3 linked regions of the Macaca fascicularis genome follow. The protein of the gene in region 3 binds, or shares a complex with, the protein of the main gene of each other region. Links are inferred from orthologs where the notes say so. Each region holds a gene or a part of one and is shown on either strand. Other genes may lie near its edges.

Region 1 (2,437 bases), on a different chromosome or scaffold from region 3:
ATTGTCTACTTATATCTCACTCATGAATCTATTAATGTGACTATCCTCTCGTATCTCAGAAATACACTTTAATAATTACCAAAATTAAGAAAATAATGAAATGATCTGTACTTCTTAAAATAATTGCACACCATTAATTACATTGGTGGCTTCAATGCTAAGATTAGTTTCAAATATCATTAAAATATATCCTGACCAGTTACTATCCAGGAAATAAAAGCTAACACAATGTTAACGTAAAACCAACTAAAATATTTAGTGCTCAACAGAATGCATTTGTAGAATAATGTATAATTAATTTTTGTGAGCTGGCCAGGGGAGTTCAGATTGTTGCCTCCATATAACAAATTTAGAAAAGGCTTTATTCTTTCTAGTCCCCAAGTCACCTACCAGATAGCAAGTTGGCCACCTGAGGATGCATGGAGTTAGGCAGTGCCACAGTGGATAACATGCTACCTCGGTGGCCTGGAAGAAGGCTTCTCTGTCAGGAAATGATCTGGAGTAGATGAGAGCCCCGGTGTAGATGTGCACACATGTGTGACTATGTGAGAATGTAAGTGCCTGTACGTGTAACATCACTTCTATTGTAGTCGTCATCAGCAGAAGTGCACAATTCATCCCATGTAAAAAGAAGGCCTTCTTATTTGGACATCTCCAAGTGGCAGCAATTAGAAGCTCAAAATAATACATCTAATTTTTTGACTCTATATTAAAAAAACTTTTTTTTTTTTTTTTAAAGAGAAAGAAGCCTTTGAAGTTAAAAACTAAAAAGTTTGTGGCTTTCATAATCTTTAATTTCTAAGAAAAAAAGCCAGCTCACTTGGGAACAAATGACAACTGCACTTCTGGTATACAGTATGCAAACAAGACACAAATACACATACTTGAACACATACAGACAGGCGACAGTTAAAACCCTTCCGAGAGATCAGCCCCCCAAATGTACAATTCTCCTTTGCTCTGCTGAATGATGCCAGTGGACTAGGCGGGGCAGGAGCGTTAGGAGGAGGCGGCAGACATGTTGGGGGTCCAGCCCATCTGATAGGCTCTCTCCAAGGTCCTCTTGCAGTCCTGCAGGACGGTGCTAAAGGTGATGTGGGGGTACTGCTGCACCAGCTGTTCCACCGTCACTTCGTTGACCTGCAAACAAAGAAGAGCCATCATCACGCACAGAGACCACCAACACCATGCCGCTGCCCATGCTCACTGATGTGCTGCGGCTGACTCACGGTGGCACAAGGAGCCCTGGCTTTGCTCCTCCTAGCGATGTGAGGAAGGGTTTTGTGAGAAGATATGTGTCCCCTTTCATCTGACCTTTCTGATCTCCCAGTAACACACCTGCCCTTAGGGATTTTAAAAAGACATAATATCAAGAAATCAAAAGTGTTTTCTAGAAGCATAGATGACTGTGATTTGTCAAGATCTTAACCATGTCCATTGAAAATCCAGTGCTTGGGAGGTGAAGAAGCAGTAAGATAGCTAATGTGCACTTGACTTCATCATCAACCCAACAGCCTTCTTAGGACAAAAATTGTGGAAAGCCGGAGAGGATACACAGGATTCCAGACAGAAGTGTTGGGGAAGATGTTTATTTTTCTTCCCTTTAAATGTTAAGGTACTGCAAACTTCAAGTGCCTTTGTGAAAAGGGCTGAAATGTGAGGAATCAATAATTAAAACATACATGGCTGGCAGGTCAGAGATGGCCCCAATAGACCTTAACCATCAAAGATACCACCTTGATTCTTGATTAGACAAGGCAATCAGACAGGCCTAATTAAAACTAACACCTTTACAATTGCTGTGCTGTGAAGGGATTAATTTGTCAATTATTTTTAAGCTGATTGCAGTGCATATCACAGAAGTAGACAGTTTTCTTCATCCTTTAGATAAATAAATGATTAACCTAAGAACCACAACTTTTAGGTAGCTTTATTTAAAATCTTTATTGAACACTTGGGCATTTTCAAATACATCAATATTTCATTTATACTGAGTAAGCTAGTCTGAAAGAAGGTACTTGTGATACACATTTTTGAGCATACCTCTTGATGTCCATTATTGGAAAAGATCAGGATCACTAGGAAAAACCTAAAACAACATCAAACCCTTGCTGTTTGCTTTGAAAGCCTGCTTAGAAGTATGATGATCATGAAATTCAGTTATCTGCACTTTTCTGAAATAGCATGATGTTTTCTAAGTGATCTAGAAAACTATGTTATCTGTTAATCTTTTTACATTATTGACACAGTTGATATTTCAACATTGTGTTGATGATACTAAATCTTTGCCAGAGCATTTCTCTATTTAAGAACTGCTTGTGTTTAAGTCAAATTTAACCAAGCCATATAACTAATTCTTTTTGTGATAAAGCTATGATTTATAACATTTTATTTTCAAAAGCTAATAAAATAATTTTGAATAAAAAAAGGAAAACTG
Region 2 (4,410 bases), on a different chromosome or scaffold from region 3:
CTTTTAATGTCTTCAGTCAGGACAGAGGAAATTCCCAGAAAAAAAAAATGTACTTGTTGTGTTCCTTTTTTTCACGCAGCTTTGTTAAACATGATTTATCCTCAATAGAAACAAATCTTAAGAAAAATGATGCATTTGGCTTTCAACTTTTCCTGGTAATCCTAAAGACAGAGTCGGTTTTCCCCCAACGTTGCTTATAACAACCCAGGGCAAGAAAGAAAGATTTCAAAATGGCCCAAGTTATTTTTAATGCGGAAAAGACTGATGTGAGTTATGCATTTATCCTCCTACATGCTGCTTCCACAACCTCTCAAGAGATTTTTCACATATCTAAAAAGTCAAGTTGGTCTTTGCTTAACATTCATTCAGGAGATGAGAGGCCTGTCCTATTTTTCTTTTGTTTGACTTAAACATAATCTCATCGGTCTATTTCAATATCAGCTTCATCCCTCATCCAGGAAAGTACTTTATCTCTCCAAGACACCCTTGAAAAGAGTAATGGATGTTCCTTCCACCTAATGGGGATACTGAATCTAAGGCTCTCCTTACTGCCCTGTTTATCAACACATCCTCTGCACAGAAGGTGAAAAACTACATCCTACTACCACTTCACACCTGGAGAGTTTTTTTGACAAAAGATCAAGAAAATGTTTGACTCAGTTCAAATCTTTATGGATGACAACAATCTAATATGAATCATAAACGAAATCAATTCTAAATTTTCTTGTTCTTTTTCTGTTTTCAAATATGCAAATCGATATCTGATTACAAAGGCAGAAAAGCAGTTATTTTTATCAAACGTAATTGAAAAATACACAATGCAGTACATATGTTTTATGCATTTTTGTATATGGAATGTTATATTACACAGCAAAGAAAGAAAAATTTAATAGAGGGTTGTAGACAATTTGGGAAATTAGAAAAACCAAAGTTCATTTTTATCATATATCCTTCGGTCAAACAAGCATTCCTATAGATAACTCTTGAACAGCAGCTATTAAATAAATCGTAAAGTACAATTTACTTCTTCCCTAGTTGGAACCAGAAGAATATAATCCCAATCAAGATTGGGGAAAAGTTCAAGACAACTTTAAAGGGGGAAAAAAAGGCACAATTAATACATTGTCTATAACTTAAAACTTTACAATAGATCTTTGGAATTAACCTAAGACTTTACATTTAACAGCATAAACGAATTTACCGTACATCAAGTACACGTTTCCTTGAATTCCAATTTTTTTCCTAAAATTCATTTACAAAAGAAATTAGAAATATAAATATCTACTTTTAAAGTTTCTACAAGGATGAGCTGAAACTTCTTTTCCCTTTTATAACAATTTACAGAAATTAGCATGTGTTTTGAAACGCAAGCGTTCCACTCTCTGCCCCTGCAAAAGAGGGTGGACATGTTAAGAAACTGAGGCAAATTCTCAACTGAAAAGGAAAAATATATAAAGTACTCAGGGAAGAAATAACAGCTGAAAGCAAAAAATTATTAACAAACTAAAAGCAATAGAAATTCTAATCTACACTCGCAACTCTTACCCTTGACAGCACAGAAGAGAATCTCCTGTCTTACACATTTTGGAATTGCAATTCTGAAACGCTAAATCCAAAGACAAAGCCGCTCTGGGGAAAATAACAATTGCGCAACAGATCAACAGCTCCAACTTGTCCCTTGGCCCTGGCGCGGCGAGGTTTGCACGCTATAAAGCAGGAAAGGGCCAACCGAGGGCTGCTGTGACGGCCAACAGACCGCTGTCACAGAGGCCAAAGCCACGCGCGCGGTGCGCGCCACCAGGGGGCACAGCGTCCGAACTAGACGCCCCGGGTGCCGCCGACTCCGGCCTCAGAGTCCGCTGCCCTCGCCCGCACTTTCCCGCGGCGTTGCGAGAGGCCAACTCCGGGTGCCCGGGCCCGAACCCCTCCCCGGCCGAGAAAGTGCGCGGGGCCCGGCTCAGCCGCCACACGTCGGGGCTTCTGGGCCCGCTGGGCACTTCAGGCGCTCCTCCCTCGTCCCGGGGTTGAGCTTTCAAGAAAGCTCAAGGCTGCCAGAGAGTGATCCGACAGATGGATGACTTCGCAAAGCAGCGCCCACAGACGGCCCAGCGGGGTGAGCGCGCCGCAGCCCGCACACACGGAGGTCTTGGGGCGCGGCGAAGGGGCTCTGGGTCCCAGCCCGAAGGCGACCTCAGTTCCCCCGAGAGTGGCCCCGTGACTAGGCACATTTTTGCCGGCTCTGAGGCGGGGGAGCCGCGCAGCCCCGGAAGGGCCGGGCCGCGCCGGCTCAGACGGCCAGCGTCCGCCCCCTCTTGCCCCGCTGCCCGCCGGGCCGCTCAAACTTAGGGGCTCCGAAGCCCAGCTCTGGGGACCGGGGACGCGGCTGGATTCGCCCACCACTGCCCACGCCCGCGGGCTCAGTCCCCAGACCTTCCCGCAACTTCCCACCCGTTCGCCCTCGGGCTCGTGGTCGGTCGGACCACCCGGCCGCGTCCCCGCTGCCCCTCCCCACCCTGCCCCAGCGCAAGCGCGGCGGCTCCAGCCAGCGCTGCGGTCCTGGCTCTGACCGGACGTGGAGGAAGCCGGCTGCGGCTATCCCTCCCGGGCCGCGGTTCCCTAGCTCCCCCGCCCCCGTCCCGGCACCACCGCAGGGCCCAGAGGGCCGAGGCAGCACCTGCTGGGACGGGAGTCCCGGCGGCGGCAGCTCCAACTCCATCATGCTGAGCTGGGGACCGTGTGTTGGGGCTCCCCGACGGCGGCCCCGTTCCGGCTGCCAAGGCGCGGCGCGGACAGGGCGGCTCTGGTGGCGGCAGCGGCGTCGGTGGCTCCTCCGGGCTCCCCGGCACTCGCTGATCGGCGACACGCCGGCGGGCCCCTGCCCCGCTCCGCCTCCCGCCCCAGAAGGGCGGGGCAAGAGCCTGGGCCCTTCCTTCCCCCGCCGGCCGCGCGGGCTGAGCTTCCGAAAATCCCCCACCCGCGCCTGGGCTGACGCAAGAAGCTCGCGGTCCGGGGGCGGGAAGGGACTGCCAGCTGGGGTCCCAGCAGGCGGGGGATCGAGAGGAGGCCACAGTTAGCGCCCCGGTGCCGGCGTTCAGTTGCCCTCCCCCGCAAATAAGGGCAGCGCTCTAGCCCGCGAGATAAAGAGTTATTTGCGAAGGTCGCTGGAGTTCGGACGCTTTGAAACAGTTTAAACAGTTGGAACAAACACACCCGGAGCCCCGGAAAGGCGTTGGTGTAGGAGCTGCGCCTCCCTGATTTGGAGTTACAGAACCTTGCCCTGCTTTTATCTCACTTTACCGCCCGAGAGTGGCGCCAGCCGGGGTGGGGGGCTAAAGGTTTGGACCCAGGCCGTGCCACTGCCAACTGCCCTCCCGCCCTTGCTCCCCTCCCGGGCTGGGGGCAGTGGGCCCTGCCCAGGGGAGATGTGGACAGCGCCGGGAGCTCGTGTTCGCAGTCACCCTGAACGCTCTCCTCTGAACTCCCACGTGTCTCCGTCAAGGGCAAACGGAGAAGTCCCTTTAGGTCGGAGAGTGGTCAGTATTGCCTACCCAGAGCTGGGAGAAAAACGGGAACCGCAAGAGAACTTCTTCCCACTAAAGCACAGCCACCACGCCACAGATGGCGCCCTTCAACAGTGTGTAATACCACAACATGCTATGATCTTTTAATCTTTACAAATTTCTTTTTCACGTACTCACAAAATAGTACAAATTTTAAAAAGTTACAAAAACGTTTGTATAGTATTGGCTCATTTTATAAAAACATGTGCCCAGAAAAAAATTGAAGGATAGTTACCAATATATTAAATGCTGTGGAATCAATGATTTTTATCTTTTTCCTTGCTACTTCCAAGTATGCTTTAAATCTGCAATGCGTATGTGTTATGTCTTACATTAAAAACAATTATTTAAACATTAATTATTGCCCAGAGAAAACTTCAAGTATTTGAAACCAGGAATATTGTGAACCTTATACGGGTTCAAAGAGGATAGATAAATGGTTTGGTTTTGTTTTTTTCTTTCCTCTTACGCATTTACAGTCTTTCTAACTCTTTAACAAGACTGGTTTTCAGTTTCTACCTTCCTGGAATTATTCAGAACCAGGTGAAGTAGATAATACTGGCAGTGGTTTTACTATTTCATTCAAAAACCACACACACACACACCCCTGACTATAGCGATCAACGCCCAAAAAACTGCAGAGCTTACTTTCTCTCTGTTGCATAATTTGACACTCCCAGGATTTATGTGTAAATTTGTATATTCAGATATTCCTTGAGATAAGTGAAGCCTACATTAATTACTTGTAATTGAAGCAAGCTTCTTCAATTCCTATTAATTCCTTTCAGCTGTTATGTGAAAACCCTGCAACATTATCTGCACAATGAAAACAAGTTAGGAGAAATTGTTT
Region 3 (3,648 bases):
CCACCATGCCCAGTTAATTTTTTATTTATTTTGATATGGGGTCTTACCCTGTTGCCCAAGCTGGAGTGCAGTGGTGAGATCTTGGTTCACTGCAACCTCCGCCTCCAGGGTTCAAGTGATTCTCCTGCCTCAGCCTCCCAAGTAGCTGAGATTACGGGGGTGTGCCTCCACAGTGGCTAATTTTTTTTGTATTTACTTTTAGTAGAGACGGGGTTTCACTATGTTGGCCAGGCTGGAATTTTTGTATTTAGTAGAGATGGGGTTTCTTCACGTTGGCCAGGCTGGTCTTGAACTCTTGAGTTTAGGTGATTCATCCATCTCAGCCTCCCTAAGTGCTGGGATTACAGGTGTGAGCCACCGGACCTGGACTGTTTTTGCTTTTGAGACAGGCTCTGTCACCTAGGCTGGAGTGCACGATCATAGCTCACTGCAGCCTTAAACTCCTGGGCTCAAACGATCTTCCCACCTCAGCTTCCTGAGTTGCTGGGGATACAGGTGTGTGCCACCATGCACAGCCAATTTTCATATTTTTATGGTAGAGACTGGGTTTCACCATATTGGCCAGGCTGGTCTAGAACTCCTGACCTCAAGTGGTCCACTCCCCTCACCTTCCAAAGTGCTGGAATTATAGGCATGAGCCACTGCACCCAGGGCTGGTCTTAAAATCTTTTTTTTTTGAGATGGAGTCTCGCTCTGTCGCCCAGGCTGGAGTGCAGTGGCGCAATCTCTGCTCACCGCAAGCTCCGCCTCCCAGGTTTACACCATTCTCCTGCCTCAGTCTCCCGAGTAGCTGGAGTAGCTGGGACTACAGGCGCCCACCACTACGCCCGGCTAATTTTTTGTTTTTTAGTAGAGGCGGGGCGTCACCAAAGTGCTGGGATTATAGGCATGAGCCACTGAGCCAGGGCTTTTTTTTTTTTTGAGACAGAGTCTCGCTCTGTCACCCAGGCTGGAGTGCAATGGTGCGATCTCGGCTCACTGCAACCTCCACCTCCCCGGTTCAAGCGATTCTCCTGTCTCAGCCTCTCAAGTAGCAGGGACTATGCCACCACATATGCCACCACATCTGGCTAGTTTTTTTTTTGTATTTTTAATAGAGATGGGATTTCACCACATTGGGTCAGGCTGGTCTCAAACTCCTGACCTCAGGTGATCCACCCGCCTCAGCCTTCCAAAGTGCTGGGATTACAGGCATGAGCCACTGGGCCCTGCCCTCTCTTATCAATTTCTATAGATAATTTCCTTCAGAGAAACGAAAATGAAACCAAAAATGGTAAGGACATTGCGTGGACCAAAGAAAACATGACTAAGGTTCAGGCTTACAGCTTGCAACCTGTAATGGGTGTTCAATAAACATTTGCTGACTGTCCGAAAGGCTGGGCTGCCCCAGGATTTGGCTGCTTTTCACTGCACTCTGTCCCCACCTTTGACCCCAGAGAAACTAGGGAGCCCAGAGACACATGAAGACCTCACCTTCCCCAGCTGTTCACCAGTGTCCCCACACGCGTAGACAAGGAACTCAGAACCCCAGTTGTTTTTTAATTTTTTTTTTTTTTTTTGAAACTGAGTCTCGCTCTGTCGCGCAGGCTGGAGTGAGTGCAGTGGCTTGATCTCGGCTCACTGCAACCTCCGCCTCTCGGGTTCAAGTGATTCTCCTGCCTCAGCCTCCTGAGCAGCTGGGACTACAGGCGCGCACCACCAGGCCTGGCGAATTTTTATATTTTTAGTAGAGATGGGTTTTCGCTATGTTGGCCAGGCTGGTCTTGAACTCCTTACCTCAGCTGATCCACCCACCTCAGCCTCCCAAAATGCTGGGATTACAGGCGTGAGCCACCACGGCTGGCCTCAGTTTTTTTTTTTTGTTTTTTTTTAGACTGAGTTTCGCTCTCGTTGCCCAGGCTGGAGTGCAATGGTGCGATCTTGGCTCACAGCAACCTCCGCCTCCTGGGTTCAAGTGATTCTCCTGCCTCAGCCTCCCGACTAGCTGACATTACAGGCATGCACCACCATACCCGGCTAATTTTTTTGTATTTGTAGTAGAGACGGGGTTTCTCCATGTTGGTCAGTCTGGTCTCAAACTCCCATTCTCAGGTGATCCACCCGCCTCGGCCTCCCAAAGTGCTGGGATTACAGGCTTGAGCCACCGCGCCCGGCCCCCAGTTGTTTTTTGTTTATTTGTTTGTTTGTTTAGAGACAGGGTCTCATTATGTTGCCCGGGTTGGTCTTGAACTTTTGGCTTCAAGCAATCCCCCCACCTAGGCCCCCCAAACTGTGGGGACTACACCACCGTGCCCAGCCCAGAACCTCCTTTTCCTCCAGGTTCCTGCCTTCACATCTCAAGGGGAGACAGTGATGAGCACTCATCCATCCCTGGTCCTTCTCCTGACACTGCCCCCAGCCCCACCTCCCCGCTCACCTCCCCGAAATGCATGTAGATATACTCCCGGGCACGCTGGTGCAACTCCACACAGCCAATCTGCTCGGCGAAGTTGGCGATGCCGATGGCATTGCTGGGGTCCAGCTGCTGCACTAGGAAGTCACTGCAGGCACGGACAACGCTGTCGATCTGGTACATGACAGCGCCGTTCATGACGTGAAGGACACACTTCTCGCCCATGGAGATGGAGGCCGTGTAGGCGAATTCGATGAGGCGTTCCATGACCTTGGGGTGGATACCCTCAATGGACACCACCTCCATGCCCTGCTCCCGCAGTCCATTGGTGAACATGGCCTTGAAGACGGGGCTGGATGAGGCTAGCACCACCTTGTGGGCCATGAACTGGGCGGCAGGCGCGTCCTGGTACTTGACCTGCAGTGTGACGTCACACAGCTGCTGGCTGAGCCGCAACTCGTTCATGATGCCGAACGCCTGTTTGGTATGATCCTCCAGGGTATAGCTGAAGGTGCGGTTGCCATGCTGGGAGGGCGTCACCTCCGCCTTGCACTCAGTGGAGGCATACATCACCGCGTCCCCTGACCCCTCAGGGCACTGTGACCGCAGGGGCAGGAATCGGCTGCAGGCCCCAGCCCTGCTAGGCTTGGGATCTGGCTGCATGGGGTTCCAGAAGATAAGCAACACCACCACCTCTGGCACTCAGGGGCCTGGAGGGGAGAGAGCACAGGGCAGGGGGCACGGGTTGGGGCTGGGCCAGCACCTGCAGGGTCTCCTTTTGTAAGATAAAGCAATTCCTAGGTCAGTTTTCCTGCAGAGTAGGTGAAGCAGAGTCCATTTGCAAATTTGCAAACATCCCCCTGACCTGACCAGCCCAAGAGCCCATCTTAAAACATAGATGAGGTCATGTCTCTCCCCTGCTCTGGATCCTCCAATGCCTCCCACAGTACCTAGTAAAACTGAACTCCTCAACAGCCTGCAAAGCCCTACGCAATTAGCCCCTGCCACCTCTTCCCTTTGATCACTCTGTTTCAGTAATCTGGTGGCCTTTCCCTTTCTAGAGCATGTCGGGCTCATTCCTTCATTCGCCTCACCATTTGTTGGGCACCTACTGTATGCCAGGCACTGATCTGGGTGCTGAAGACACAGCAGTGAGCAAAACACACAAAAATCCTACCTGCTGGAGCTGACACCTGTGGGGAGGAACAATCATAAACTAAAATAAGCAAGACCTGGAAAATCAGCTTCATGAAGAA

Evidence for each region.
Region 1: the proteins of KEAP1 (region 3) and FBXL17 are in contact, whole or in part, in a crystal structure (PDB 6W66), measured with the Homo sapiens proteins. The link is inferred for Macaca fascicularis from reciprocal best matches to the Homo sapiens genes KEAP1 and FBXL17. Residues at the interface, in NP_036421.2 of Homo sapiens: His59, Thr60, Ala63, Ile66, Met67, Glu69, Leu70, Gln75, Leu76, Gln82, Lys84, Ala90, His96, Val98, Ala101, Ser102, Ser103, Ser104, Pro105, Val106, Lys108, Ala109, Met110, Thr112, Asn113, Gly114, Val122, Ser124, Glu126, Gln163; in NP_001156787.2 of Homo sapiens: Asp395, Arg397, Arg421, Lys423, Asn447, Gln473, Tyr475, Met524, Arg548, Asn572, Cys574, Leu575, Trp577, Glu596, Tyr598, Val600, Ser601, Asp623, Trp626, Lys628, Tyr647, Met651, Arg652, Val676, Leu677, Asp679, Cys680, Thr683, Leu684, Arg686.
Region 2: the proteins of KEAP1 (region 3) and NFE2L2 are in contact, whole or in part, in a crystal structure (PDB 3WN7), measured with the Mus musculus proteins. The link is inferred for Macaca fascicularis from reciprocal best matches to the Homo sapiens genes KEAP1 and NFE2L2. Residues at the interface, in NP_001103775.1 of Mus musculus: Tyr334, Ser363, Gly364, Arg380, Asn382, Pro384, Asp385, Gly386, Asn387, Asn414, Arg415, Ser431, Gly433, Cys434, His436, Ile461, Phe478, Gly480, Arg483, Ser508, Gly509, Tyr525, Gln530, Ser555, Ala556, Tyr572, Phe577, Ser602, Gly603; in NP_035032.1 of Mus musculus: Leu19, Ile22, Leu23, Arg25, Gln26, Asp27, Ile28, Asp29, Leu30, Gly31, Val32, Val36, Phe37, Phe39.

What each region holds. Positions count from the first base shown.
Region 1 is NC_088380.1:114,341,967-114,344,403, forward strand, and holds part of FBXL17 (F-box/LRR-repeat protein 17), read right to left. Parts: intron 1,141-2,437; coding exon 1,000-1,140; 3' UTR 1-999. UniProt on the Homo sapiens protein: Substrate-recognition component of the SCF(FBXL17) E3 ubiquitin ligase complex, a key component of a quality control pathway required to ensure functional dimerization of BTB domain-containing proteins (dimerization quality control, DQC).
Region 2 is NC_088386.1:72,799,812-72,804,221, forward strand, and holds the start of NFE2L2 (nuclear factor erythroid 2-related factor 2), read right to left. Parts: upstream 2,888-4,410; 5' UTR 2,720-2,887; coding exon 2,675-2,719; exon of another isoform or gene 1,546-2,674; intron 1-1,545.
Region 3 is NC_088393.1:11,055,255-11,058,902, forward strand, and holds part of KEAP1 (kelch-like ECH-associated protein 1), read right to left. Parts: intron 3,103-3,648; 5' UTR 3,056-3,102; coding exon 2,417-3,055; intron 1-2,416. UniProt on the Homo sapiens protein: Substrate-specific adapter of a BCR (BTB-CUL3-RBX1) E3 ubiquitin ligase complex that regulates the response to oxidative stress by targeting NFE2L2/NRF2 for ubiquitination.